Linked DNA regions of Rhinolophus ferrumequinum. The protein of the gene in region 1 purifies or fractionates together with the protein of each later gene. This does not show direct contact. Links are inferred from orthologs where the notes say so. Each region holds a gene or a part of one and is shown in the gene's direction. Other genes may lie near its edges.

Region 1 (7,708 bases):
GAAATAATAAGATGGGGGAAAGGAGGCATACAAAGAGTAGGTTTTTCATTGTTTGTAAAATATAAACACAGATGAATTCTGTCTTTGGTTTGTTCATGCTTTTCACTCTGCACAGCAGGGATGTTCTTAAGAACTTGCCCTCTGCGAAATTTCACTAAATGGGAACCGTGGACCCTGCATGATGGGATTATAATCACACCGGCCACTCCTTTTACATAATTTTTTGTTTAAGATCCAGTAAGACTCCCTGTTTTTAATATATATAAAGCAATAGACATGCCTAGGTCGATAAACTGAGGGTTTGCGTCCCTAGTGCCTAGTGCCAGCTAAGACAAAAAACGGTGATATCACATCTACAAATCTCAATGGATTCAAAAACAATATGAAAATTTTGAGCTGACAAGAACATGTCTGCTGCCTGCAGTCCCTGCAACTAGCTCACCATGTTGCCTACTAACCGAAAGATCAAAAATTATCGATTTCATGGCGCTTCGTGCTCTGGAAAGAAAAGCTACTTTAAAATTTGCATTGTTTAAGAAATGAGTTAAAAGAAAAGAATCATTTTTTTTTCCTGAACACTTTGGAATGTGAAAAATGGCTTGTTCTAATCTTATTCATGAATTACTATAATTCTATTATTTTTAGCAGCTGGAGTCCAGAAATGATTTTTTCGATGAATTTAGGATTTTGCCGCAGTATCCATCTGCAGTCCCAGAATCCTCGGGTAAGTTAATCCTTCTTTCGATGGGAAACGCCTTTAACCTTCTTGTGAATGAAATATCTGCAACCATTTTGAAATTTTTAATAGAGGTGTGTGTGTGTGTGTGTGTGTGTTGTATGTTGGGGGGGTTATATCTCCAAAGCATAATTTCTACGCAATACAGCCGTACTTATCTTAGTTCTTAGAAACACTGACAAAACATACACCTTTGTGCTCTTTGATTATAGTGGATGATGTGTCCATTGCTTCTCCTTCACTTTCTGTGGTAGCCATTAAAATGTACTCCCTTAGTCTGGCAAGGACTGTTGTGTCAAACCAATGAAGGCCTGGAGAACACATAACCCCCAGCATGAAGAGTGTTCCTGGCATAACTGAAGCGGCCAGGAATATCACCACCACTGCTGCTGCCACCGCCACCACCAAGGCCATCGCCTCCCACCAACTTCACCGCCCCTCCCTTGGTCTGCAGTGCACACCAGATGCAAGCTTTCCACAGTAGCTCTCTGCCGAATTTGCCCAGTAGGTTCCTAGATTACTCCTGTGTGCGAGAATAGCCAACCATGTAGTCTGACAAGAAGTATTTACAACTACTTAGCCTGTTCAGCTGGAAAGAAATCAAGAGATAACAGTGAACCCTGAGATGATGTATTGCAAATCAAAAAGTTCCAATCCATAAATAGCCCACTCGGTGAACTGCTAAATGAAAAGCTGATCTTGACTACTGTCCAGTGTTTTCAGGTTGTCAAAAGAAATATTTTTAACAGGCATTCTTAGAGAGTTAGGATTTATTGTTCATAAATGCATGGAGTATTACTTAGTCTTACCTTTCTGCTGGGAGAGGATTCTTCCCAGAGAGATTCGGATATAGAGTCCAGAGGCCACACCCTCCTTTCACTGTTTTCTACTGTTTCTGTTGACTCTCAAGTAAGGTTGATTAACAATTACAATTTTATATTACTTTAAGGGACCTAATCAAAAGGAGCCAGTCATCCATCTCCCTCTAAAGGGAGCTTATTGTCTTAGTGCTCAATAAATGTTTAATGAATAGATTTGATAGAGTTAACTGTGCAGAAAGTGAACGGGTCTTCTTTAAAGTGCTGCCCGGATTAATGTTTCTGTCGGAAGTGCAAAAACAATCTGGGCATTTATTTCTTTGCCTAAAGGTGATTCAAAAGATGGGTGTTAGTGAAGGAGGATGCTTTGTATTCAGAGTCCATGTAGTCACTGCTTGATGTGCCAATGGTCTGATATTATGGCAAGTAATGCCTCCTCTTTTAAACCAGCTGAAGACACTTCTGGTTTCTAGGAATACAGCCTGAAATTTAGAACCATTTGTCTTTTGCAGTTTTACAAAATGAACTAACTTATGTCAAACCCAAGTGGTTGGCTCTAGGAGGAAAATGTGTACAAGGATAATCAAGTATTTTTCACAAAACGTATTGCCCAAGGTTAATTTTTAAGAATCGTTGTTTTACAAAATCACTTATTTCACCAACTCATCAGGTATTTTGTTGTATTTCTCATTGGTTTAATGATGGCATTTGTCTTCATTTCACAGAAGTTATTCATCTCATATTTTTGGTCAGACAATTGAAACAATTTGTTTTTTGAGATAAGTAAATACAAATTCTCAGTAATTTGTTAAATTCAACTAATTTTTTTTAATGCTAGTCACCCAGTAATTCTTCAGTACACTTAAATTTGATGGGAAAAACAGCTTGCTGCATTGTTGCAAATTTTATATTTCCTTTGATACTGTGTGTTTGCTTAAAGTATTACTAGGGACTTAAAAATCTTAATTCTAAATTTAGGTTAAGACATCTAAATTATAGAAAAGTCCTTCAATTACTTTGGCACCTGAATAGAGAAATATGAATATAGAGTTTTTATTCTGTAGGTGTTCTAATAGTGCAAATATTTCTTAAACAGTTTTAACAGTGTGCCTTATTTAGCAAAAAAACAAAAACCAAGAAACTGAACACAGAAAAAGGGAACATCTGTACAAAAAAAAAAAAAATCTTTCAATATTGATTAATCAGTCATCTGATTTTAAATGTATGGCTAATCAAATCAACTGTATATTCCCTAATTCTGTGTACGAGAATTAAAATTGGGGATTAGTACCTGGAAATGCTATTTACACTTTCGAAAACGTTTATATTAGAAACATTGCTTTGATGAAATACCTTTTTCTGCTCAATCTGTTTTAATTATGAGCAGCCCGGTTAACCACAACCATTTGCAACACTTCCACAGAATTACTAGCAAAGATACAAATGTAAAAGTCGTTCTAGACAATGGATCTCAACGAACATCATCTCAGTCAGTATGTGGATTTTATCCACTGCAGTGGCCCACATGTGCTATGGTGATAGCAGCTGACATTACCACTGTATATAGGAACATATCTTTAAGACATTATATATATATATATTTTATATATATATATTATATATATATATATTTTATATATATATATATATATATAATATATATATATATAAAGAACCTGTTGGGCCCTGAAGCATTAGCTATGCCTAAAACTACATGTCCCACTCCATGAGTGAATGAGGAAGTGGGTTTCCTGCCTGTACCTACTATAAAGACCTATTGTTTGCATGCATTAATTACAGGGATAAAAGCCTCAAGATAACTTTCACTGTTGCTTTTTGTACTCTCTCCATCGTTTTGGAGAAAAATAAGCATAAAACGACAGGCTAGAGAAAGTGAATCGATCATAATTGTTTCAGCTTTGACAAACGCCAATCTTGCTGGATTACAATGGAGACATTTCCAAGGGAAATCAAGACCAACTTCAGCCTATTAAAACGAATTAGAAAATGTTTTTGAAGGATAGAAAATTAGTTTTAAAAAATGAGAAGCTGCCTAATCGGTATAGCTCCTTCCATTCACAACATACTTGGACCTCTCAAATAAGTAATACCATAGAAATGCATCTTCTCCAACCTCCCCCACCCCGCAAAAAAAAAAAAAATTGTTGATACTTAGTAGCACGGTGGACCCACATAAAAGCGGAATCTATAAGAATTAACCTAATTGACAGGGCTGTACACTTAGCCCATTTCCATCCGTCATTTGTTCACAGTAGGTACTCATAACGACTTGTTGAATTACGGGGCCAGGCGCCCATTCTAACGAAGAGTTCCCAGCCTTCAGGAGTGGGGGTAGCAGGCGGCTCCGCCCGGTACTTCACTTCCAGATTCAGGCTGAGCCGACGGGTGGGATGCGGGACCCACGATCCGGACACTGGGGGGCTTGGGGGTGGTGTGCAGCTCCGCTGGGAGCCATGCCCTTCAGGGAGTGTGTGGCCCTCCCGCAACGGCGGCGGAAGCCCTAACCCGCCCGAGTCCCCCAACCGACCGCGGTGCGGAGGCGGCGCCCAGAAGCGCCAGTGGCCCCACGGGCCGCGACCTCAGCGCCCGCGCCTCCGCCACTGAGTCCCGAACTTCCGCCCTCCCAGGACTTGTGCGGGCTGCTCCGCGCGGCCCCCGAGCGCCGGGGCCGAGATGCCGCCACCCGCGGGCGGCAGAAAGCGTGCGGCAAGCCCCGCGTCGGGTCTCACGGCTCGGGGCACGCGCGGGGCGGGGGCGTCCGGTTCGGGACAGTGGAGGATCCCGGTGCCTCCTCCCTCCAGCCCACCCCGAACTACGGCGCCCCCGCGGGCCGCCCTCCGGTCCCGCACGGCGGGGCAGCGGTGAGGCTCCATCCCCGACCGCGTCCCGGGAGCGCGAGGGCGCCCCGCCCGGGCCCCGGGCGTTGGGACGGCGCCCGGCGGCTCCGCGGCGCGGGGACTACTTTCCGCGTCCTCCCGCGCCCCGCCCCTTGTCCTCGCGCGGCGGAACGCTCCGCGCTGCGCCGCTGGCGGCAGGATACAGCGGCTCCTGCGCGACTTATAAGAGGTCCTTGTGCGGCGCCATTTTAAGCCTCTCGGTCTGTGGCAGCCGCGTTATCCCGTCTCCGAGAGCGGAGAGCGAGGGGAGGCGGAGACGGAGGACGGTGCGAGGAGCAGCTCCAGTCCCCGCCGAGCCGCCACCGCAGGCCGAGGACGGTCGGACTCCCGCGGCGGGAGCAGCCTGTTCCCCTGAGGTGCTTGGGCGCTCCCTTCCTTACCCTTCCGGGCTGCTCCCGCTCCCTCTTCGGAGCCAAACTTCGTCGAGGGCGCGCGATCGCGGCGGCGGCTGAGAGCCGGGCTCGGCGCAGCCCCGGAGGCCCGGAGCGGGGAGCTGGGGGCGCCGGGGAGACGGCGGGGGCGGGCTGCACCCGGGGGCGGAGGGCGGCGGCCGGGCCCGGGTTTCGGTCACCCTGCTTCTCGGGGGTTTTGGGGGCGCCGCTGGCGGGGAGGGGGCGCCGCGAGGGCGCGTCCAAGAGCTGGGATGGCTGGCGTGGGGGGCGGCGGGACTCTGGTTTCCGTCAGGGGCTCCGGCCGCGGCCGAGTTTGGGGGAGGGACCCTGCGCCTCGGGATGCGCCGGGGCCGGGGTGGGGGGCGGGGTGGGGACGGGGGCTCCGCCTTCCCAGCGGGGAGTTGGGGTACGGGCGCCGGGCCTGGGACACCACCCTGGGTCCCCTCTGCCGTGGGGATAGGGCTAGTGGACTTTCTCTCCAGATTCCCTCCCTCGTCCTTAAGGAAAATTCTTAAGAGAATTGTTAGTATTTTTTTTTTCCACGCTCCGCCTGAGTTTGGCACTGGCGCTTGTTTCAATCGAAGCAACTTTAAACCTTAGAGGAACCAAACTAGCAGTGCAAACGGTGCGATGCGTCAGTAGGATTTGCACACAGGAGATCCGTGTCTTGCACCTATGTTTTCTTGTGCCGTGCAGGTGAGTGAAGCGTCGTGCGGTGCCCCGGGAGTTGCAATGGATGGCATCGGGCGTGAGACCCCAGTCAGAATGCGGGCTGGGGCGCCTGCCTTCCTGTTTCTGACCAGTTAAGGCGCGGGGTGCAGCCCCCGACTGCTTCGAGGATCTCGTTCGGAGGAATTATTTATTCCCCTAGTTTTATGGCAGCGAAACTTGATTTTTAGAGCACGTTTGCTTTTCAGCGGCGTGAATGTTTCCCTCGCTACGAAACGGGCCGAGGGAAATTCAGGCGTTGCAACTTCTTGCATTGTTTTGCCTGGGGAAGAGGACTCGAACGGAGACTTTGGAAGTTTCTCGCAGCCCTCTTCTGAATCCGCTAAACTGGAAGGCTTTGGCAGGTGGGGGTAGTTGTTCCCTTCGTTTTCTGTTCCCTTTTGGAGGGAGTATTGTCTCCTAGTTTGTATCTTTCAGACATCTGTGGCCTGCCCCCCACCCGCCCCCCGGTTGTGAGTGGTGAATGAAGAGAGACCGGCCTGCTGGTATGCAGAGGTCGGCAAAAGGAAATCGAGGAGTGGTTTTCGTGAAATGAGAGCTTTGTGTCATGAATAGTGGTGGCTTAGACTAGACATCAACTTGAAGAGACGGCTATCCTTTGATGAAGTCTAGGCTAATGTTTTTCGGATGGCTAAGTTACTAAGTATTTTGTCTGGAATTTAGGAAGCCGTTTCATTATTGCCTCTCGGTAAACATTCAACACCCTCATATGTCTTCGTGTTAACTAGTCCTCATTCTAGGAAATGTTAGACATAGCTTAAAATGTTATTTGCATAATGCTACTACGGTTTAGTATCTGCTTAAATTAGTGACATAAACGTATTTTGGAGATTTTTTTTGTTTTTTTTTTTTTGTCTGACCTAAGGTTGCTGCTGCATTTACTTTACTTTTACATTTAAAACCACAAAGTCTCTGGATTAAAAAAAGAGGAACAATAAAGTGCATTTGATAATATCCTTCCACAAAATTTGATTAATTTGCCCCCGATATTCATTACTTTGACCTAGTCTTTGTTCTGAAGGCCACGTCCAAGGGCAAGGCCCTAAAGTGATTGCAAAAGTAACTTGAAAAACTTGCAGAAGGCTATTCTATAGGATTAAAGGAATGTTGAGACTATTTAAGTCTGAGGTCCTTGAGGGGGAAATAAAAAACTGTACTAGAAAGTTTAGAGTAGCATGTAATTTAGAGTCCCAGGCCTGAGATTCTCCCAGAGGCCAGAATAGTCATTTTAAATAGCTTTCAGGAAAAACCAAGTTTTTAAAAATGTGGCTCATGAAAAAATGAGGCATTTAACAGTGTTCGCGTGTCAAGAAGCATTCAAGAGTGTTCTTTCTTTTGGACTAATTATCGGACTGCTTCCTTTACCAAGGTTATTAGGTAGAAAAATGTATATTCCAGTATTAAAACTTAAGAAACTATGAATTGAGCTTCCAACTGTTACCTAGTGATGACTGGAATAAAAATTGTTCATATAAATGAAGTCTGTTTTCATAAATAGTTCCCTCCTCCTCCTCAGCAAGTTTCTCTAAACGTATTTTGAGATGTGGTGCTTAAGAAAACTAGCTTCATACATCCTTTTCTTGGTTGTTGGGAGGAGTGGGAAGAGGAGTGTTAAGTCTTGCTGAAACTAGAGATGTGAACAATTCAAAAGTTTGACTATCACTCTAAGTTACAAGCAGCAGTGAAATGAAAACCCCATAAATGGGCTACATAGTATGTTCAGCCTACTGAAACTTTTGTTATTGAAACAGTACATCTGTCCATGATTTTGTTTCTCTCATGGTTTACTAATTGCTGATAATCATTGTAGATGAGTAGGTGGTAAATTTTAAGTTTGTACTTTGAGCTTGGTTGGAAGCCTGCTTGATTGCTAACCCACGGCAGAAAGGATGAATGCTTTTAGAGCAGGACAAATGTCTAATAAAAAGTGTTGGCAACCCTTTTGTAGGGCTACATGTTGACTTCTGACATTGTTTTTGAAAACATTAGTTGTATTAACTTGGTTGTTTCCTTGTAGCCCTCTTTTTATTGGTAATACAATATCTTTTGTTGAAATAGGTTGATTAAAAAACATTTTTATGCCATAAAAGTAAATATTAAACATAGACGAGGAGC
Region 2 (7,440 bases), on another chromosome or scaffold:
TACTGAGTCAGTCACAAGTGATATCTCACACTATAATTTATTACTTTTAAAATCAATATTCACAGCTTTAGGCCCAATTTCATGTCAAGTGAATGGAAATAAAAATAGACCAAGTAAAAGAACAAAAAAGGAAAGAAATGCTTTACCAGGGGTTGTTACATGGGCTATTCTAATAAGATATATAAATCATGCTATGTGGTTAAATAAAATACCTCAATAAAAGCAAAAAACACTAGCCTTCCTCCCAAACCTTTGTACCCTGGATACCTTTTCTAGAACTACTGTCAGGGCTCTAAAACCACCAAAACTTTCCTAGACATATAAAAACCCAGTCACTTCAGAGGATGTTCTTTCTCTTTTGTTCAACCATCACCCTGCTCACCTACCACCCAGATAGAAGCTTTCTACTGATTGGTTTTCAGTGAAGGTGTGTTATTTTCTCTTTCAGGTTTGGCTGCAATAGTATGCCTCTAAGATCTAAGCACAGGTGCTTGAAATTTAATTTTTGTAACTCAGGCTCAACATTTTGTCGTGTTAACAACCAAACCAGGTTCTACAAAGGCAATGAAAAAAGTCTGAAGTTAGACAACGTGATAGTCTCAGAGTTTCAATGAAAAATTACCCACTAAAATTTACCCACCAGAGAAATGTTCATCATGCCTATTATGACATTTTAAGAGAATTCACAGTAAAACAAGCAATTTTTACTTGCACACCACAATAAACCAAGAACTCTATGTTCAAAGCCTGAAATCTTTCAAATGAAAATATATCAGACATCAAATAAGGGTTCACTGATTAATTTGTTTATAAATCCAAGTAGCTGGGGCCAAAGATGGGAGGAATAATCTCACACAGAGAATAATCTAAGGCGGCATAATTTAGTTACCTATTCTTTAGACCAGTTGTTTTTCTTTTTTCACTAAACTGTGGATCTGTACAGAGCTGTGAAATCAGTTCAGCAGAAAATGACCTGTATTTTTAAAAAAAGGAAATAGTGTACTGTAGATGCAAAAATGTCAAGAGTGCTTTGCACATTTATTTGTACAGTGAAACTTGTTTCAATGTGTGTACAGGGTCAATATAAAATATATTTTTTATTAAGGGTCAACATCTAAAAAGGTTTGAGACATTGATCCAAAAGAATCCCAATAAAGGGCGGCCCGGTGGCTCAGGCGGTTAGAGCTCCATGCTCCTAACTCCAAAGGCTGCCAGTTCGATTCCCACATGGGCCAGTGGGCTCTCAACCACAAGGTTGCCAGTTCAATTCCTCCAGTCCCGCAAGGGACGGTGGGCAGCGCCCCCTGCAACTAAGATTGAACACGGCACCTTGAGCTGAGCTGCCGTTGAGCTCCCGAATGACTCGGTTGGAGTGCATCCTCTCAACCACAAGGTTGCCGGTTCGACTCCCACCAGGGATGGTGGACTGCACCCCCTGCAACTAGCAACAGCAACTGGACCTGGAGCTGAGCTGCGCCCTCCACAACTAAGACTGAAAGGAAACAACTTGAAGCTGAAAGGCACACTCCACAACTAAGATTGAAAGGACAACAACTTGACTTGGAAAAAAAAAAAAAGAAAGTCCTGGAAGTACACACTGTTCCCCATAAAGTCCTGTTCCCCTTCTCCAATAAAATCTAAAAAAAAAAGAAAGAAAAAAAAGAATCCCAATAAAGGAAAGAGGCTTAACTCAGGTGAAAATGTAAGAAGCATCTGAGGCAAGTATATCTTTTTAAAAAAACGTATTTGCCATTATTTTAGAAAGCCAAACAGAAGATGCAATCAAACATGTTTAAATAGTAAACACCTTAATGAAATTTTCCTTCTATCCAATGGAACACTATATCTGAAGAGATAATCATTAGGATTTAGTAATCCATTTACTAAAAACCACCTCCTAAACACATCACCACCCATCTTCTCCCTCTAATTTCCAATTGGTAAAAGATTTTGACAAAATAATCAACTCTAGCATGTCAGTTTAGATCAATGGTTTTCAACTGGGGATTATTTTGCCCAAACACCCAACCCCCAGGACATCTGGCAGTGTCAGGAGACATTTTGATTGTCAAAAATGGGGGTGAGAGGTGAGATGCATTTGCAGGAAATGTCAATAGTGCTGAAGTTAAGAAACCCTGTAGATCAAGACTATTCTTTTCAAACCTATATCCTTTTAATTCTTAAAAATTAAGGAGCCGCATTTTGAGCATACCTACAAATACTTTATAAACAACGTGAAATAGGTTTGTCCTTTGGGAAGTGCCAGAGAACATGGAAATCTCTCTGTTCATATCTCAACTAAAATCACCTTTTATAAGTCAGAAATGTTCTCTAACCATAAGGATACTTCATATGCAATTGAACTCACGGCAGTATTCAAAGATTTTTTTCCCTTGACTCTAAATAAATACATCAGTGAGTAAAGCAGTATATATTCTGATACAGCCAAAATGTAATGAAAATTTCTGTATTTTAGTAAAAATCTTGGAATAAGCAGAATGGGCATTACCAACAGGGAATGGACTGCATCTAAAAATAAACACTTTTAAGGAAATATAATCAAAAGGCAATGAACTAACCCAGGTGATGGATGAGCCCTTCTGTCCCCAACACCCTAAATCAACAGACTTTAATTTTAATCACAAATTATTATTATCCCTGCAAAGATTTAAACATTAGAGATCTAATCTGCCTCAATGCCACTGTATTCCTGGGGGTAACACACTTTGGTCTGTAGCTTTCCAAAACTTTTTCTATGGACTTACAAATATCGAGTTGTATGTGGAAATATGTATTATTACGTAGATATTCCTCAGGCACCTTTTCAAGACAGTACAATCTCTATTTGTTCTAACATTTCAAGTCGGTCTTCCTAAAGAAGCTAGTTCTCAAAGTCAAAAGACCTTCTTCCTTGCTCCCCCCAAAACCTATGGTGGATGGTGGGATGTACTGATGTGTGTGTGTTGGAGGGGGCGGGGGGATGCCCAACTCGACGTACACAGGAGCAAACGTATCGTTTCCATACCAGGGAGGCTTATGCGATGGAGGCCTAAAGGCTTCGTTAGAAAAGTCATAGTGGATAAAATATCCATCCCGAAGCGCCATCACAGGCATTGAATCCCTTTCCTCATCAACACAAATCCAGCACCTCCGTCTTTTGGAGCGCTGATTGGACGACCCGGGAGAGCGCTCTCAGTAGGTTGTCCTCCTACTGGCTCCAGATTTGGTCCATCCATTTTACCGCCCAACTCCCGCATTTCCCATTGGAGTCAAACCGCTGCCTCTTAGAGGAGCCCAACCTACCGCGCGCTTCGTGCTCATTGGCTTAGTGAGACGCTGCTCAGAAGGGGAAAACCCGCCTCCCACATTCCGATGGCCCAAGGACCGATCAGTCGGCAGCTAAAGGCAGACCCAATTGGCCTATACACTCGCCAGTCAAACTCTTAGACGGCAAAGCTCCACAGAACTTACAGGGATAAAACATCCCGCCCCTGTTCTTCCATTGGTTGGCCGGACCCACCGCTCCCCCTCCGCTAGCCCCCACCCCGCGGTCCATTCATTTCACACAATAACGGGCCCATTTGGAGTCGGTTCAAGACCTCGTATGGGTAGGCAAGACTGTCCGCCACTTACCCGGGATCGAGACCGATCACTCACGCTAATGTCTTCCCTGTTCTTCTGTGGTGAGGCCGGACCACAAGCCACAGCTGCCGCCGCCTTCTGCGCAACGCCAACCGCCCGCCAAAACGGATCCTTCCCTGCGCCTGCGCGACCAATCCTGGGACCAGACCTTTTTCTCCGCCCATTACGCCTGCGCAAAACGAGGCACAACTCCCGCCACAACGCAGGCGCTGTAGGTTCGCCGCCGTCTCCCGCCCGCCATTTCACGTGTTCCAAGAGTCAAGCGGAACTTCTTATTGCGCCTGCGTAAACTCGCCATTTTACTACACATGCGCTCAGCAGGCGGTTGTTGCAAACAATAAAATTAATATGCTATTTTTTAATACACTGCATTAATCATAAATTGACAACTGAATAGAATGTAATATTCGGGGCGTGGAGAGCCAAAAAGTTATTCAAATACCTTCAGGATGTTCAAATATGAATGATTGGTTGGCTAGCCAATCACACTAGTCAGGAGTAACATTACACGGGAACCAATGGACTCCAAGGGGTGGAGACTACGTAGAACGCCCAAACGGATGACGTTACACAGCAATGCGGCACCACAGTCCAATAGTAGCAGGAAGCTATTTCAAATATCCAGTCAGAGCTACTCAGGGGCGGAGTCTACCAATGCCGTAAGCGAGGAGGCGGGATAAAACAGCGAGGCCGAAGGTAGGCTGGCAGATACGTTCGTTAGATCACTCCTTTCTGTCGGTGGACGCCGCCGAGTAAGCATCGTTAAAGTCACCCCTCCCGCGGTCGTCATGTCTAAGTCAGAGGTAAGATGCTCTGTCCAACTTAATTTTCTTCCTCGCTCCTTTCTGAGTTGGGTTGGATGCGGCCTGGATTGGTTGTTTGCGCCAGCCCATTCGGCAGTTCTTCGGTCACTGCCAGGGCCTACCCCTCCCGAAGTTCAGGTCGCCATTTTGTCCTCGTCGTCGCCATGAGGCCGCCGTTCTGCAACCCTTAGTTATCACGCCGGGTTTGGTCCTCCTGGTAAAACTCTTAGGCACAGTGAACGATTTTTATCTCGTCTCAGTGGGCGAGTTTTTTTTTTTTTAAGCAGCTGTGGTCCCTTATTGGCGATGCACTCCTCCCGCCCAGACCTTTTGTTGGCGCGTGCGTCGGAGGGATTGTAGGGGCGCATGCGCTCGCCGTTTCCCAGCCCCCAACATAGAGCCTCCCCAATGGGGAGAAGCACGTGGCTTGCTGCGACCCTCTGGAACAATAAGTGCTATGTACGTTGCTGTCTCGTTTCTCTTAATTGGAAGATGTTTTGCGATACAGACCGACATAACGCTTTCCCTCCCCCCCCACTCTTAGTCTCCCAAAGAGCCTGAACAGCTGCGGAAGCTCTTCATCGGAGGTTTGAGCTTTGAAACAACCGATGAGAGTCTGAGGAGCCATTTTGAGCAATGGGGAACGCTCACAGACTGTGTGGTAAGACCTGGAAGAGACAAAAGAGCACTGGAACTAGTTGATTTCATTGGCTTATCTTGTTATACTTACTGTCCGAATGCTTTTGAAGATTGCTAACAGGATTATAGTTGGAAGTAACTTGGCAAGGGAAGGTGAGGCTTTAACTGATTAAGATGTAAATAGATTTGTTAGATGGGTAAGATTAAGTTGAAGGGCTTTGTATGAGGGCTAGTATAAAGTTTCCTGCTACCTTATCCAAGGTAGAAATGACAGTAGTTCTTGGAGTCTTAATATGTGTTAAATGAATTAATATCTCAGGTGATGAGAGACCCAAACACCAAACGCTCCAGAGGCTTTGGGTTTGTCACCTATGCCACTGTGGAGGAGGTGGACGCAGCCATGAATGCAAGGCCACACAAGGTGGATGGAAGAGTTGTGGAACCAAAGAGGGCTGTCTCAAGAGAAGTAAGTGTTTTTTCTTTCCGTTAGTCATATAGAAGTGTGCTACTAGGTGGATGTTACGTTCAGGGATGTTGGCAAACTTTAATACTGATTTTGCTGATGTAAGTCACTTAATTGGATTTTTCCTTTAGGATTCTCAAAGACCTGGTGCCCACTTAACTGTGAAAAAGATTTTTGTCGGTGGTATTAAAGAAGACACTGAAGAGCATCACCTAAGAGATTATTTTGAACAGTATGGGAAAATTGAAGTGATAGAAATCATGACTGACCGAGGCAGTGGCAAGAAGAGAGGCTTTGCTTTTGTAACCTTTGATGACCATGACTCTGTAGACAAGATTGTCAGTGAGTATCAGATGACTGGTATTTACCAAGGGGTTTGAAATCCATATCTTTCTCTAAACCCTGAGAATTGTCCCTTTTCATTGTTGAAATTTTTTAGTTCAGAAATACCATACTGTGAATGGCCACAACTGTGAAGTAAGGAAAGCCCTATCTAAACAAGAGATGGCTAGTGCTTCATCCAGTCAAAGAGGTGGGTTTGTTGCTTTTAGTTAAACCTTAAATAAAGGTAACTGAGCAATTACAATCTGTGGTTTAACACTTATCTCTTCTTAAGGTCGAAGTGGTTCTGGAAACTTCGGTGGTGGTCGAGGAGGTGGCTTTGGTGGGAATGACAACTTTGGTCGTGGAGGAAACTTCAGTGGTCGAGGTACATGTGGTTCTGCTTTATTGGGAATTAAGGGTAAGCTTGTGATGTAATTACCTGCCTGACTTGTGCTTTTTACAACCTGCAGCTCTATGTAACTACTGACTGGCATTTCTAAAGTTACAGTTTTATCCAAATGTAGTTCTGGTTTCTGCTAATCAGAAGTTAAAATCTTTGGTGTGGAAATCATTTTAGTAGTACAGGAACTGCTCCCTGAAGTAGACTTGAAAGGCTATAATTATATGTGATGCACGTACTCCGAACCTGCTTTAAAACTCCACTTTCTTCCAGGTGGCTTTGGAGGCAGTCGTGGAGGAGGAGGATATGGTGGCAGTGGGGATGGCTATAATGGATTTGGTAATGATGGTACGTTTGTGTGGTTTTTGTTTCTTTAGGAATACATGGGTGGAAAGTTTGTGGTAACCTATAGTCTATACTAGGTTAGTAGAGACTAAAACTAGTGCATGACAAGCTGAACTCTGACTATAACAGCATGTGACCAGGCTGTTACCCATTATGCTTAAACAGATTTTGATTGTTGAATACTTTTGTCTTATTGAGAAGAATTGTATTCTTGTAGGTGGTTATGGAGGAGGCGGCCCTGGTTACTCTGGAGGAAGCAGAGGCTATGGAAGTGGTGGACAGGGTTATGGAAACCAGGGCAGTGGCTATGGCGGGAGTGGCAGCTATGACAGCTATAACAACGGAGGAGGCGGAGGCGGCTTTGGCGGTGGTAGTGGTAGGTATCCAGTGATCCAGGTACTTGGTGCAGTAGCTAGATTAGCCTTGTAGAATTTGTGCCCGTATGGGGATTTGGTGCTCTTAAAGCATTATGTGGTACGCTGCATGGTATTTTTTAATGGACTTGCTGTGCTACCTCCTCCTGGCTTTAAGCTGGGGCCGCCTCACTCCCAAATAGATGAATAAATGGATAGTGGCATCTTCAGCTGGAATCAGATTAGCTTCTAGCAGCATTTAGTATCTTTGGGACTTTAGGCACTTAGTTGATGTATCCAGCATGTTTGCAGTGCCCCTGAATGGGTAAAGGCCTTCAAAGGCTAGAGAATGTTCTGTGTCGTGGTGAGTTGGGTAAATTTTTTAAAATACTGGATTATTCAACTGAATGCCTTGCCAAGAAAGGATGAAATACAATCAAGCATTGGAGCCATCAGTTTGGGAGGAAGGCA
Region 3 (7,564 bases), on another chromosome or scaffold:
AGAGAGTGAAAGCTCAGGCTGAACCACTGGCAGGATGCAACTGCAGTTTGCTGAGATGGAAAGATTGCAGAAGGAGCAGGTTTGTTGGGGAAGGTCAGGAGTTCAGTTTGGGATAATTCTCACCATGACCCATCAGTAGGAATTACTAACTCTAGAGGGCTCAGAGAAATTAAACAACTCACCCCAGGTCACCCAGGCAGTTGTTTTCAGAGGAAAGATTCAGACTCAGGTCTGCCGGCCCTAACTTCGATGCCATGGGGCCTTCTCCTGGTTGGGTGCTGTGTGGAAATCTGGAGAAATTGTTTTCTGATAGTCCTGATCCATGACCCCAAAGAGAGAGGAAAGGGTTAGTGGAGAGTGAGGCAGGAAGACATCAGAAAAAAGTGAGGATGCCAGGGATTCCACAGGGCTGTCAGTAGCATGTGTTTAAATGTGAGATGCAGACAAAGAAAACAGGGAAGGTGCAATTCTTTTTGAAAGAGCCAAAAGACTGAAAGAGTCCTAGCCCTGTTCGGGTGGAGTGTGTCAGGGACAGTATGAATGTTCTCACTGCGGAAGAAGGCTATGCTCTGTTGGAGTTGGGAAGGCCCTGAGCAAGTCTTCCTCCACAGATTGTCCCCAGATTCGATGCTTTCTCATCATGGCAAAGCTATCTCCCCGGATTCCAAGAAGCCGACCCTGAGACAAGGATTCATGTGCTTTATTAAGGAATGACTTATTAACAAGGGCCTCTCACGAGTAGGAGAAGCAGGATAAAGAGGGCAAGAAGCTGAGGAAGGGTGTGGTTTCAGAGCAAGTCCCTGGAGGAAAGCTTCAGTCTGACCCTGCAGGACACAGTGGGTGTAAGTTACCACTGGGAGTTTGTCTGGGAGAAGGGAGCTGGGCTTCCACACTCCTGTACCAGTTGGTCATTGGCTAATGGTCTGGGAAGTGAACTCCTGGGCACTTCCTTGCAAGGGCAAAGGCACCCCAATAGCAGGAGGACAGGGCTCTGAAGAGATTCACAAGTGCCAACTGCCAGGGACATCAGCACATAGAAGCCAAGGGAAAGAAGCTCAGAAATAATTAAAGGAATCCCAGGGGATCTTAGTGGTGTCCTGATCCACTACCATGTATCTTCCCCGTCTCAGGAAATGGCGGTGCCATCCTGGTGGTTGCTCAGGCCCCAAACCCTGTAGTCATCCCTGACCCTCTCTGTCTCTCACACCCTTTAGCCAATCTTGTGGTCAGTACCTTCAAAATATACCCAGCATTTGATCGCTTCCTTTTTTTTTTTTCAGGAATTTTTAAAATTGTGGTAAAATACACAAAACATACAGTTCAGTGTCATTAAGTACATTCACATTGTTGTGCAGCCATGACCCATCCTCAGAACTCTTCATCTTGCCAAACTGAAAGTCTGTACCTATTAAACATTTTGTTTCTCCATTCATCGGTCGATGAATGGAGACCGAAGCAACTTGGGTTGCTTCCACCTCTTGCCTATTGCGAAGAATGCTGCTGTGAACATGGATGTACAAAAATCTGTTCAAGTCCCTGCTTTCAGTTGTTTTGGGTATATACACAGAAGTGGACTTTCTGGATCATGTGGCAATCCTATTTTTAATTATTTTAGTAACTGCCATAGTATTTTCCATATAGTGGTTGCACCATTTTATATCCCCATCAACAGTGCACGTGTTCCAATTTCTCCACATCCTTGCCAACACTTGTTATTTTCTGTTTTTTCTTTTTTTTTTTTTTTTAATAACCTCATCATCTCTTACCCCTTCCACAATAACCATCCTGAACCAAGCCATTTCAGTTTTTGCCTGGATGACTGCAGTAGAATCCCAACCCATCTCCCTGCTTCTGCCCTCATCCCCTGTAGTCTTCTCAATATTACTCCTCTGTACACAACCTCCAGTGCCTTCCTCCCTTCCCACTCAAAGCCAAACTTTGTAAAAGCCAGAGTTCTTAACAATGGCCTGTGAGGCTCTCCAAGATTAGCTCCCCACTTTCCCAATTCTGACTCATTTCCTGCTTGCTAGATCTACTATAGCCACACTGGCTTTTTTTTCTGTTCCAAATAATCTATCCAGTGCCTTGGGGTCTTTGCCCTGTTTTTTACCTGGAATACTCTTTCTTCAGGTATCCTTAGGGTAACTTGTTCCTTTACTTCCTTCAGGTTTTGTTCCAATGTCCATTTCTCACTGAGACCTCTGGGCTTCCTGATTGCTCATCTGCCCCGAGCCGTTTTCTGCCTTTCTCCACCAGGTGCTGTGCCTGGGGAGAATGATTGCTATAGGACCCACCACCTGGGCTGTCTTGCCTTCAAGCTTCTGGATGGGTTTGGTCCATGGGAGGCGCGGCCAGGAGATGAAGGGCAAAAGGAAAGAGATGTTTGGGTTATTTTTTTCCCTATGTCCCCTATATCCTCCCTGCTCTGCTCTGGGCAGGGTCCTATCTCTCTTGGACCACAGCTGCCTTTGGGAGGAATAGCCCTCATTCTCCAGCTCTTCCCTAACCCCCCCACTCCCAATGACACCATTTCCTCCCTTTGCCCTTAAGTCCTTAGAGTTGTAATGCTTTTCTGCTGTGGCTCAGTACCCGTTGGTTCCCTGAACCCTCATCATTCCTCTCGCTGCTTGACTAAGTTAACTTGAATCCCTCCTCCTCTCCACGCTGGATTCTGTCTCCTGCTAGACCCTTACTGAAACACCTTCTAGATCACTTTATTTGCAATTTCAACCCTATCTTCTGCCCTGTGAATTGGCACGTCACATTCTGTCCTTATTCTTCTACACGGCAGATATTATCTAACATAATATATATTTACTTGTTTATTTTCCTCGATCCCCCACACTCTCAGGGATGGAAGGCCCAAGGGTGCAGGGATGTTCGTTCACGATTGTATCTCCGGTGCTTGGCGCATAGCAGGCAAATATTGAATGAATGAATGGATGGATGAACGATCGGCAAGGGAGCTGCGGAGAAGACAACAGTGTGGTCCAAGTTGCAGGCAGGAGAGCTGACTCTCAATTTCTCCTTTCCTCTCCCCGCCTCCGCCCGGAATGCTGAGTGCCCTGGAAGGAGGCGGAAATGAGCGCGCTCCAACAGCCCTCCAGCCGGGTGTTTACTTAATTAGGACCTGTATCCCGAGGCTCGTTTGTGTTTAACTGTCCGCTTAATGGCTTCATCTGGCTCCTGGCGGGCGAAGGGGAACCTGCGAAGCGAGATAGGCGGAACTATGGGGTACATTCTGGGACCTGCCCCGTCACGTTGTGCCCTTGCGCGGGGTTTCTAACCTCCCCTCTCGCACGGAAATCGCCCCCTGCGGGAGAGCGAGGCGAGGGAGGCGCGGAGTTGAGCAAGCTGTCTCCAATATTTCTGCGCTTTGTCTACCCCCAACTCCCAACCCCCACCTGCGGAACCACAGGCCGGATAACCGGGCGCTGTGGTGATACCAGATGCCAATTACTTGCTATACCATGAGCCGTGAAATTGAAGAATTACAGCGTTTCTCATTCTCTTAGTCGGGCGGGGGGGGGGGGTGCTGCAGTGGAGAGAAACGGCTCGCGAGGCGGAGGAAGACAAATGAGCCGGGTACTAAAGCAACACCAGTAAACATTTGGGCACTTGCTCTGTACCAGGTACTGAGTTGAGGGTTTTAGACGTGTTAATTTAATCCTCGTCTGTATGTATTAATTCATTTAATCCTAGTACTTCAGATGGCAGATGTCACACAATAGCCTCGTTTGTTACATGCAGCACTGCAGTTCAGAGGGGTTATTTCACTTGGCCTAGGCCACAGCGCTAATAAGTGGTGCAACCCTGGTTGGAACAGAGGCAGTGCGCCCCAGAGCCGATGCTCGGTTAGACAGAGGACTCCCTGCGTCGCAGCGCAATCTGTCCTACTGTCGGCCACAAGCCTGGTGATGGGAAGGACAGGCAGGCCACCCGGTTAGCCCTTGAGGGCCAAAGGATCTATAATTAGAGACTTTAGTCTCCTAAATCAGAGCTGGGGAGGGGCCTCAGGGGAAAAGAGAGCCTGCAGAGTGGAGCGATTGAGTATAGGGACAGTTTCTGCGCCGAGGGCCCACTTGTGTGTTGCGAAGAGAAAAGCACTTCAGGTCCCCCGCATGTCTCCCAGGAAGGGGGAAGGTGAGTTGTGTTCAGGGAGGCTCACGGGAAGGCTGCTTGCTTTGCGCAGTTGTTACTTAGATTATATTCAGTATTTCAGACCAATAAAAAGCCGCGTCTTAAAAAGTGCCTTTAAATTGAGAAAGTGTTATTTATGTTTTATGGGGGGGGGGGTTGTTGCTGGAGATTATGGGGCTAATAATCACTCCTCTACCTCGCGCCCTTTGGCGCCACCACGGCTTCCGAACTCTGAGAACTTCTCTCCCAGCCTCCATTTGTCCGGCTGTGCAAGAGAAGTAATGCGTCTTCTGCAAGTTACAGCAGATTTTGTAGCGCGGTCCCTCGCGACTTAACTGCGTTTTAAACCCTCGGAGTCCTCGGAGCGGGCTGGCGTGGGAGGTGGAGAAAGGCAGGCGGCAGACCTTGCTGCAGCCGGGCATGGGGCGGACAACCCGCCTCCATCAAAGCTTTGGGTAACAGTGTCTGGGGGTAGGGGGGGCATGAGTGGGGCGCCTGTTTCCGTTCAGGTTCAAATGCCTCTCCCTTTTTTTCCCGCTATAGCCACAAAACACAGCAACACTTTTCTTCGCGTGCTGCGGAGGCTCAGGGGTGGGGTGTACTTTTCTTTGCTGTTTTTCTCGAACCTAGAACCTGCGAGACGCGGAGTTCCTGACAGGAGCAGTTCGGGAAAAGCCGAGAGAACACAGGAAGGTGGACTAGAGGCGCTTCGCGGGTGCCTGGACAACGCCAGCCGCGGCCCCACCTGCGAAGGGGCGGGACCTTACGGCGCTGGACCAATCAGCACCTACCTGCGCTCACCTGGCCTCCTCCCGCCGGTTCCCGAGAGCTGCGGTGCTCAAACGGGCGCGGAGAGCCTACTGGAGCGCTAGCCCGTGGTAGCGGTAGCTTCTTCACCTCTCTCCAGCCATGGGGCTCTCTAGTGGAACTCTCGCGTCCCTCCTCCGCCTCTTCCTCCTACTCCAGGTACCCCACTGCCTCTCCTAGCCCGGGCCGGGACACTCCCAGGAGGGCGGGCGGGGTCCGCATGCGGCGGTGTCGTCCGGGAGAGCGCGGGGCTAGGCTCCTTGAGGCCACAGTAGCCTGAGAAGCTCCGTAAGTAATCCTGGGATGGGTATACAGTGCCGGGAACGCCTGTAACCCAACCTCCCTCTTCCCTGCCTTCCCTCAGGCGCAGATTTGCTGGCTGCCATGCGCGGCTTCCGAGCCGTGTGGGACGGGCTTCGGGGGAGCTGAAGTGACCTTGGAGGCGGGAGGCGCGGAGCTGGAGCCGAGCCAGGCGCCGGGGAAAGGTAAGACCCTCCGGTAGCCCACCCGGTGCAACCGCAGGCTGCGGGGCGGGTGGTCTGCTTCGGTGTGGCTCGCACGAGGTGTGTACAGGCTGGGGCTGAGGACTTAGGGCGCCCCCTCAGGTATGGGGGAGGCGCAGAAAGCATCTCGGGGGCTGGGATGGGGTGGGCGTCTGACCGCGAACGCCGAACAGTGTAGCGCCCTCTGACGTCCAGCCCCTCTTTGCCCGGCTGCGGCGGCTTACCTTGACCCCCTCCTCCGGGGTGCGGGGCAGCTGAGCTTCTCACCCAACCGGGGTGTGGGAGGTTTTTCCCCGCTGGCCTCAGCGGAGGAATGCGAGGTCCACATTCTTCCCCCAGCCCCCGCGCAGGTGTGGGGATGAGTCTTGCCCCGGGCAGCCCCCTTCGCCCCTCTCGGGCCCCCTTTGTGTACCTTGCTTTGTGTCTCCGACAGACAGACCGGGTCTGTTTCTCTTCTTCGCGCTCCCCTCCCCCGCCCCCCTTCTTCCCCGGCAGCTGGAATGCACTCTTAACCCTGCCCTTCCCGGAGGGTCTGCGCCCCTGCAGCCTGCCTGGAAACTGGGTCCGGCACACCTGGGCTGGGGCCATCACGCACTGGGCACCCACTTCTCCTCTTCCTCAGTTGTTTTCGGAGTGGTATGTTAGGGCACTTGGGGGAGTGGGGGTCCCAAGCAAGAAGGTCTTGAGCTGCGGGAGAAGTGGATGGGAGATCAAAGCACATATTTGATCTCCATTTACTTGTTTATCTCCCCTCTAGTTCAAAAACTTGAAAGGGGGTCACTTTGGTGCGGAGAACCAGTGTGTTATGAGACCCAGGCAGCTGCCTGCTGATGGGGGCCTCTTTCCCTCCACGCAGGACTGTGTGTGTGGGGGGGGAGGTCTTCCACTGGACCAAACCCAAGTTCTTAAACAGAGATGTAACTCAGTATCCTTGGGTGGGGTTCCAAAGGTTTCTTAAGCTGTAAAATTGTTTAAGAACATTTTTCTGGAGAGGGGATCTACAGTTTACCTGGCTTTCAAAACAATTAAGAAAGTTATCACCAAGCATTTTTCTCAGCCCCCATCAGCATACCGCTGACCCCAGGTACAAATTCCCACAGCTTGCTGGTACCTAGAGGAATCGAAGGGCTCTCTCTCCTTTGTTTCTCTGAAAGAAGACTGGGGACCATGAGCCTGTAGCCATTTTCTTCTTTCCCAAATAACTCTGCAGATTGACAAAAACAATTAACACCCAGGTTAGGCCAGGCTCCTTAAACTCTTGGCTGTAGGGAGAGGAGAGGCATTAGGAGGCCATGCCTCATAAACTTTAAATTCTTGTGCATGGGTTTATTACTGACTGGCTAACAAACTGCAGCTCAGCCAACCTGTAAAAATGTTAACTTGGGCCGGGCCCCAAATCCAATTCCGGCTCCCTGAGGAAGCTTTATTGCTAACCAGAGCTCTGCCAAAACTGTAGCCCTCCCCCTCATTGTCAAGTTCTCTGACTATAGTCTTGGAGAGTAAGCTGTGGCTTTGAGTGTTGTCTGTGCTTTATCTTTCTTACTGAAGCAAGAAATATCAGATTAACTGTCACTTCACTAAGCTTGAGGTTGTTGAGGGGAAGCGGTGATCAGGTTTTCGATTTCATGGTCCGGTTGGCAAGTGCTTCCAGGTGACGTCAGGCATTTTAAACCTTTTGAGAAAATTCTGCTTTCTCGGATGTCTGGTTTATGGTTGTGAAAAGGGTGGGTTCATGCCAGGAGCACACCTGGGTTATAAAACAAAGGGTGGGTTCATGTGCTTGGCTAACCTTGAGCCTCCATGCAACATGACTGGTTCTTAGAGCAGTCTTCCCTTGAAGTAGGCCGCTGCCATTTTTAAATAAAAGCAAGTTTCTGGGCTCACTGGGTCCCAATAAATGTTGGGATCCCCCAACAGAAATGCTGATATTTCTCCCCTTAGTCAAGTCAGCTGCCAACATCTTTCTATCTCCCTACCTCCACCCCCCACTTACTCCCCCAGTACACAGGATGGATCCAGCCCTGTTGAAAGGTTATCCTGAGGGGATGTACAAACTCTCAAGTTTGGCCAAGCAGAAAACAGTTTCCATATTACCAAGGAACAACTGCCCCTGT
Region 4 (7,687 bases), on another chromosome or scaffold:
TGTTTGGAACTTTTCTTTTTTTTTCTTTTTTTTTAATTAAAGTTTATTGGGGTGACAATTGTTAGTAAAGTTACATAGATTTCAGGTATACAATTCTGTATTACATTATCTATAAATCACATTGTGTGTTCATCACCCAGAATGAAATTTTTCGTGAGAAAAAATCAAAACCGTGAATGGTAGCAAAGGAAGCAAGTTGGCCCCTCCTTACCTCATTCTCTTGGCCCCTAAGCATTCTGTAAGTGGGGTTCCTTGGTCCTGTAGCCTCTGGGATTGACTAGAGAGGGTGAGGTCTGTGGTATAGACAACTTGGTCAAGCAGTTTGTCTGGGAATGGAAGAGATGGAGCCGTGTAAGGGTTCCCTGTGGAGGGTAATAAACCCTCCAGAGGAGTCATTGGGGGAGGGGGTAAAGGTTCTGGACAGGGGAGGTGGGAAGGTAGGCCACAGAAGAGAGGGGTGTGTTCCTGGGACGGGGAGAACGTGAGGAGGAGCTGGTGTGGGAAGAGGGTTGTGGCCTCTGTGTGCAGCCCACTGGGTGTGAGGTGTCCACTGGGGTCCAAAGCAGGAGGCAGCTGATTGTGCAACTGGAGTGTGGGGGGAAAGCCTCTCCTCTTCAGTTTCCTCTTTTTCTAGTTCAGTCTGTGAATCTCGGTCTTCGTTTACTGTGTGCCAGTTCATCCCTCAGCCCCCAGTTGGGAAATCCCAGTCACATCAAATCTACCCCTCCTGGAGCCTTCCTCCTGGCACCACCGTGCCGATCTCTGTGTGCTCCACCAGCTGGCCCCTTGACTTGTTTCCCTCTGTTGGGAGCCCCTGCCTCCCTCCGTCATTCCTGGTCTCTCTTCCTTCTTTCTAAATTGATATGTTAAAAACAAGCTTTATTGAGTTATAATTCACATACCATACAATCCACCCATTCAAAGTGTAAATTTCGATGGTTTTTGGTATGTTCAGAGTTGTTCAACTATCATCATCATTAATTTTAGAACATTTCATCACCCCAATATCCTTTAGCTACTACCATCCACTATCTCCCCTCTCTCCTCAGCCCCTGCCCCCACCGCCGCCCCCGCAACCACTACTTTACCTTCTGTCTCTGTGAATTTGCCTATTCTGGACATTTCATATAAATGGAAACATATAATATATGGTCTTTGGTGACTGGCATCTTTCACTGAGCATAACGTTTTCAAGGTTCATTCAGGTTGTAGCCTGTGTCAGTGCTTCATTCCTTGTATGCCTGAATACTATTCCATTGTGTGGATGTAACACAGTATGTGTATCCATTCATCGGCTGAGGGATTCAAATGGACTTCTCTCAGGAAATCTTTCCTGATTGATTTCTACCTTCTGTTCCTCTGCTGGCCCCTCCTCACCTCATTCTCTTGGCCCCTAAGCATTCTGTAAGTGGGGTTCCTTGGTCCTGTAGCCTCTGGGATTGACTAGAGAGGGTGAGGTCTGTGGAAAGAGCAGGCAGCCTTAGGTTTGCAATCCAGTTGAGCCTAGGGTTTCCGGGTGGAAATTCCCGCCCATTCTCATGAAATTTTTTCACTTGCCCGTTCCCAAATCCCGAGAAAAGTTGGTCGGGAAATCGGGAAAATCGGCTCCTTGAACCCAGCTGGTTGGTAGTATTGGCTGTCACTTTGTGGAAAGGATTCATCATGGAGAACAGAAAACAGTTTATATCTTGGGATTCGGGAACGGGAAAATGAAAAAAACTCCTGAGAACGGGCAGGAATTCCTGCCTGGAAACCCTAGTTGAGCTTCTTAGTAACTGAGTGACTTGCCCTCCTCTGTGCTTTATTTCCTCATCTATAAAATGAAGACAATGATATTTCCTTCCAGGATTGTGGGAAGTGCTGATCCAAGTGCAGCATGTCGCAAAGTGGCCTGACATACAGAAGGGACTCAACAGTGTTGGGTCCCTTTTATCTATGTTGACCTTGATCCCCAGCTAAGGATGTGCAGGCAGACAGCTAACTTCCTTGCTATTCCCCTATCAATTCTGAGCACAACGTTTTTGGAAGAGTCAAAACAAGGGGAGAAGAAATAGGAAAGAAAAAGCAGATGTCAGGAAATACCAGAGGAATTGATCAAAATGATACAAATGAGACATGTTTTAATGTTGAACGTGGTCAGGGAGGAGCATGTGATTGGAGTTTGAAGACCTGTGTTTCTGCCTTGGCTCTGACATATCCAGGCCATTTACCTCTGGGTCATTTGAACTGGGTCTCCTCAGTTTCCCTCTCTGTAAAATGGGGCACGACCTGTGTCATAGTTGCCCACGGATGGGGGTATGCTGCAAGTTCATGTGCACATGGCTGTGTAAATAATTTACTGAGGGACCCTGAGGGCCAGGTGGTAACCCTACTGAACCAAGGTAGACCCTGACTGAGGCTTCTCAGTGACCTGACGTGTTGTCTCCTCTGTGGGGTTGTGGCCTGGAACTGCCTCGGGCTGGAGCCCACCTTTCTCAGGAGCCTGGAGGCCTCTAGGACTCAGGGGGCACTGAAAGCCTTGGGGAGTCAGGGGACCTGACAGTGTTTATTCATTTTCATTCACTCATTCACTCATTCATTCATTCATTCATTCATGTTACAAACCTACTTCTTGGAGGGCACTGTACATAGTAAGACATGGCCCTTTCTCTCAAAGGGCCCGCAGACTCATCATGAGAGGGACACACATGGTACATTCAGGTATAGGATGCTGCCAGCCCTATGTTACTCTGTGACTCGATACACTTCCTGCCTGGCTCTGCAAATTGACTTCTTACATACTTCTGTTTATGGTTTCCAAGGCTTGCTACTTGGCATCCTTGAATATATAGGGATTCCTTTCTTTCTTCTTTACCCAAACGATTAGCCCAACGGCAGTGACCTCAGGAGTTTCTCAGGGATATTTGATGGATAAATAAAACATGAATGGATAAAAAAAATAATGACATACTGTGGGATGTGTCCTCATAGAGGTATGCCCAGAGTGCTGTGGGAGTCTTTAGGTGGGCTAGGAGGGCTTCCTGGAGTAGGTAACATTTGAACTGGGTCTTGGAGGGTGAGTTAGAGTTTGCCAGACATATATATTCTCAGCACAGGGAACAGTATTTGCAAAAATACATAAAGGCCTGAATGATGAGAACTTCCTAATGGCTGAGCAGGTGAAGGGACGTGATGGCGGAATGAGGGATGGAAAGTGGAAGGGACAGAAGCAAGGGGTGGGGGCAGTACAAGATTTTGAGCAATATAAATAGAAAAAAGTAGATCATTCAGTCTTGACACTGGAAGACAATCTCTTTTGGTACACATATTTTAAACAGACTATACACATGTTCTTTTTTTATTTTTTAAAGACTATATATATAGTTTTTGTGTGTGTGTTTTGTTTTTCCCTATGTGTAGGAGTTATTTATTTTAAACAGAGTTCTTTCCGTTTTTTTCCAGGAAGTTAACTCTGGTGCTGCGTGGGGAGAAATGTAGAGCGCAAGGGACGTTTAACTGGGAAGCTGCCACCCGGGCGATGCTGAACGACTCTGGGACAGTGGGATGGGGAGGAAGAGCCGTTTCCCCAGGTAAAGGACGTGGGCAGACTGGCTGCACGGTGGGTGGAGAGAGAGAGGGAGGAGTCTGAGTTGACTCACAGGTTTCTGGCTTAGGAAACAGGGTTGCTGGTGATACCTTTCAGATAAGGACTTCGGGATGAGGCGCCAGGCAAGTCGGAGGAACAGATAAAACTGGGATGCAAACCTTAGATTTTTGTGGAACTGTCCCGCGGGGAGTGGCTATACTAGCCGGACCCCACACCTGTCTGGATCTCCTGCGGAGTTCCCAGGGCCCAAGCCCGGATGTAAGGGGCCATTTGGGCCTGGCACAGGCTGGCCGCGCCCCAGCCCAGGGTAGGAACAGCGCTCACCACCTTCCCTTGTAGGTGAGGAGTCGGCCCCTGGGACCCCGTCGCATTGGGCTGGGGAGCAGGGGCTCAGGAGTTTTGCGTCCCCTTCATTTTACTTTGACAGCGGAAGTTCGAATCCCGGCCCTGCCACTTCCTGCCTCAGTTTCCCCATTTGCACAAGCTCGCAGGCGGACCTAGGGCGGTCTGTAACCTGTAGAGGCCACGACAGATCGCTGGCATCCGGCAAGGGGAAGTGACCAGGCTTGGCTCGTGTCGCCCTGGACATCGCGGGCAGGGAAGTGAGGAGCCGGGACCCGGCAGAGTCGCCCCAGAGGGACGGACAGGCCCGGCCGGTGCCGACTCTGCGCCTGGGGTCCGGTCCGCGGCCAGGCGGGGCCCGGCAGCCCAATCGCGGTCAGAACAAAAGTGTCCGCCGGGCCCGGCGTCCGTGGTCCCGTAGGCCCGGCCGCCGCCCCGCCGCGCAACACACCGCAGCCGCGCCTTCGGCCCTACTACCCGAGCTCGCTCGGCTCTTTCCGCCGGGCCGGCGCAGGTGGAGGGGGCGGGGCGGGGGCCGTGCGTGGTGACGCCGCGGGGGGGTGACGCACCGGCGTGCCCCGCCCCCTCCCCCTCCCCGTTCAGGCTCTGGAAAGAGAAGAAAAAAAACTTTCTTTTTTTTTTAATTGAGGAATCAACAGCCGCCATCTTGTCGCGGACCCGACCGGGGCTTCGAGCGCGATCTACTCGGCCCCGCCGGTCCCGGGCCCCACAACCGCCCGCGCACCCCGCTCCGCCCGGCCGGCCCGCTCCGCCCGGCCCTCGGCGCCCGCTCCGGCGGCCCCGCTCGCTTCTCGGCTCGGCCTCCCGGAGCCGCGGCGGCGGCGGCGGCGGCGGCGGCGGCGGCAGCGGCGGCGGCGGCGGCGGAACGGGGGGTGGGGGGGCCGTGGCGGCGGCGGCGGCGGCGGCCCCGCTTCGCGCATTGTTTTTTCTTACGGCGGCGGCGGCGGCGGCAGCGGCGGGCCGCGGGCAGAGAGCGGAGCCCGGAGCCCCCCGGTCGTCGGGCCGCGAGCGAATTAATTAAGTGGGGCGCGGGGGGGGGGGAGTGAGGCGGCGGCGCGGCGGCGGCACCATGTTCCCGGGGACTGCCTGAGCCGGCCAGCCGGGCGCCGTCGCTACCAGCCGGGCCCGTGGGGGCGGCCGGGCCGCCGGGGCGCCCCCGCCGCGGAGTGTCGCGCTCGGGAGGCGGGCAGGGGATGAGGGGGCCGCGGCCGGCGGCGGCAGCGGCCGGGGGCGGGCGGTGAGCGCTGCGGGGCGCTGTTGCTGTGGCTGAGATTTGGCCGCCGCCTCCCCCACCCGGCCCTGCGCCCTCCCTCTCCCTCGGCGCTCGCTCGCGGCTCGCCGCTCGCGCTCGCTGCTCTCCCTTCGTAGCCGGCTGGGGCCGGCGCCGACCCCCGCTCCGGAGCACTCGCTGGTCCCGCCGCCCGCGTTCGGGGCTGTTTCAGCGAGCAGGTGAAAATGGCCGAGAACTTGCTGGACGGACCGCCCAACCCCAAAAGAGCCAAACTCAGCTCGCCCGGCTTCTCGGCTAATGACAGCACAGGTGAGGAGGGGGCTGAGCGGGGGTGGGAGCCCCGGGGGTCGCTGTCAGATCCCCCCGAAGGTGAGTGTCCTCCGGAGAGCCGAACTCGTTGGCGGGCGTGCGGAGCTCCCCGAAGTGGAGGCCGGCGCAGCCCCTTCCCCGAGAGCTCCGCCAGAGACGGGAAGTTTTTAGGAAGACTGTCGTGGAACCCGAGTTGGGCCTCACATGCCCGGGTGTACTCGGGTTCCCCGGAGTTGGTGGACCTTTCTCGCGTGGAAACCGAGTGGTACTTCCAGGGAGAAAAAGTAAAGAGGAGATTGTTTGTTTTGCGTGGTGATTCCATACTCCTCCCTCTGCCGCCGTGTGTCGACACACGCGTGGCTGTCTGGAGGGATGACAGCAAAGGGTAAGTTTGACGGATAGAGAAGCAAATAGTGCCGCCGAAAGGGGACCCCAAGTGTTTTCTGAATTGGTGACACATTCGCAACGCTGTGACCAGAAGACACTCAGCAACAGCCAGATTATGAGTTACGACTTAGAAGTTTCTTGGAATGTGCTCTGTGCTCTTTGGGAGCACATTAGTAGTTATCTTGAAAACTCTCGTTGTTTGGTCAACCGAGTCATTCCATTTTCCACAATCCCAAACTTTGTTAGCAGGATGTTCTAAAAGTTACTGTGGTGTGTTTAATTTCACATGTATAACCTTAAAAAAAAGTTAAATAGATTCATTTGGGCTGCAATCGCCATTTGAGCTCGTGTTACTTTTACAGTGTAGATGTATGAAAAATATTAGGGAACACAGGAATTACGGTTTTTCAAAAACAATTCTTTTAGCAGGATACTGAATAAATCTTTTTCTCATTAAGCAGCTTCCTGTAAACTTCCTTAGGTAATCATTATCAATTGCCTAAGAGAAATATTTTAGTTTTCTATTCATTTAATAATTCTGGGTTCTTCTGGGCTGGTTCATGGTAGCATTATGAACTAGTTGTATTTCCTCTTTTAGAGCTCTCCTTGGCAGTAAGAACTTGTCGCCTCTGGGAACAGTTCTGTCTCCGGGCGCAGCTTGCATTTTTCCAGTACGGCTTTGCAGTAGCAGCATCTGAAAATCAGTTTATAATGAATGAGTCCAAATTGAATTAGATTTGCTGCAGCAATGCCTTCAGATTTGCAGTAGACACAGCTGTTCAGCTTCTGCAAATATTTTTGTGACTGACCACTAGCACATTTCTACTCGTGGTCTAAAAATCTATTTCTGCTATTGAAACAGAGCTTGAATTTTATGGCTTTGGTTTTAATACAATTCCTAGAATATTCGTTAATGTAGAAGTGAGAGAAACAATTTACGTAAAAATCTATCAAGGAGATTGTTGTTTAATTAAAATGAAATTCGTTCTACAGTGGGAAAGAGTAAATAAGTGTCATGGGATATGAAAGTTACTAATACTCTTTTAAGAACTAATAAAGAGTTGAGTTTGATTTTAGTCTTGTAAAATCGCCTTACCTGAAGTGAGAAATGTGGAAACAACTGTGATTTAAATGCTCTTTTACTGCAGATCTCCTTTGCTTCATTAATCTTGCCTTTTTTGAGTGAAAAGTCTTTAATCATATGAAAAGTAGATCATACCAGGCAAGTTCAGCTTTGAAGCTTGTCTCTGAAACTGGTAACTTTTTGGATGGCTTTGCAACTTTGCTACTGTTGAATGAGGTTATTGCAGATTTTGTTTTATACAGAGGAACAAATTAACACAAGACTTAACAAAAAGGTTGATCTACTACTGTGTTTCCCCGAAAATAAGACTTGGCCAGACAATCAGCTGTAATGTGTCTTTTGGAGCAAAAATTAATGTAAGACCGGGTCTTATAGTAAAATAAGACAGATCTTAAATTATTTTTTGCCTCAAAGGATGCATTAGAGCTGATTTTCCAGCTAAGTCTTGTTTTAGGGGAAACACAGTATATACATCTTGCTGTTTCCAAGATGGAGCCCAAAGGATGGCCTTTTGGGTAGTTCCGTTGTTGAATGGTCAGATACTTAATGTGCTGCTAAGTACATCAAAGTTTATCCAAAAGGATTTTCCATTCTTGCCCACTTTTTCCCCCTTCCTTTTCAATTTTGATACTCGTAAGTTATGGGGGGCTCTTTTACTTTTTGAAATGTGGAACGAAAAAGTCAGTTTTTAATAGATCTGAATTAAATAATCCAAAGAATGAAATTC

Evidence for each region.
Region 2: the proteins of CTNNB1 (region 1) and HNRNPA1 purify together in Homo sapiens (affinity purification with mass spectrometry; 3 studies listed by BioGRID, with this or other methods). This does not show direct contact. The link is inferred for Rhinolophus ferrumequinum from reciprocal best matches to the Homo sapiens genes CTNNB1 and HNRNPA1.
Region 3: the proteins of CTNNB1 (region 1) and CDH3 purify together in Homo sapiens (affinity purification with western blotting; 7 studies listed by BioGRID and IntAct, with this or other methods). This does not show direct contact. The link is inferred for Rhinolophus ferrumequinum from reciprocal best matches to the Homo sapiens genes CTNNB1 and CDH3.
Region 4: the proteins of CTNNB1 (region 1) and CREBBP purify together in Homo sapiens (affinity purification with western blotting; 10 studies listed by BioGRID and IntAct, with this or other methods). This does not show direct contact. The link is inferred for Rhinolophus ferrumequinum from reciprocal best matches to the Homo sapiens genes CTNNB1 and CREBBP.

The regions. Positions count from the first base shown.
Region 1 is NC_046300.1:12,305,443-12,313,150, reverse strand, and holds the start of CTNNB1 (catenin beta-1), read left to right. Parts: upstream 1-4,668; 5' UTR 4,669-4,828; intron 4,829-7,708. UniProt on the Homo sapiens protein: Key downstream component of the canonical Wnt signaling pathway.
Region 2 is NC_046293.1:54,025,070-54,032,509, forward strand, and holds the start of HNRNPA1 (heterogeneous nuclear ribonucleoprotein A1), read left to right. Parts: upstream 1-4,287; 5' UTR 4,288-4,430; coding exon 4,431-4,445; intron 4,446-4,989; coding exon 4,990-5,106; intron 5,107-5,403; coding exon 5,404-5,550; intron 5,551-5,678; coding exon 5,679-5,889; intron 5,890-5,986; coding exon 5,987-6,079; intron 6,080-6,163; coding exon 6,164-6,256; intron 6,257-6,544; coding exon 6,545-6,619; intron 6,620-6,833; coding exon 6,834-6,992; intron 6,993-7,440. UniProt on the Homo sapiens protein: Involved in the packaging of pre-mRNA into hnRNP particles, transport of poly(A) mRNA from the nucleus to the cytoplasm and modulation of splice site selection.
Region 3 is NC_046298.1:18,007,191-18,014,754, forward strand, and holds the start of CDH3 (cadherin-3), read left to right. Parts: upstream 1-4,478; 5' UTR 4,479-4,595; intron 4,596-4,770; 5' UTR 4,771-5,049; coding exon 5,050-5,106; intron 5,107-5,311; coding exon 5,312-5,432; intron 5,433-7,564. UniProt on the Homo sapiens protein: Cadherins are calcium-dependent cell adhesion proteins. They preferentially interact with themselves in a homophilic manner in connecting cells; cadherins may thus contribute to the sorting of heterogeneous cell types.
Region 4 is NW_022680357.1:5,205,548-5,213,234, reverse strand, and holds the start of CREBBP (CREB-binding protein), read left to right. Parts: upstream 1-4,562; 5' UTR 4,563-5,404; coding exon 5,405-5,489; intron 5,490-7,687. UniProt on the Homo sapiens protein: Acetylates histones, giving a specific tag for transcriptional activation. Mediates acetylation of histone H3 at 'Lys-18' and 'Lys-27' (H3K18ac and H3K27ac, respectively).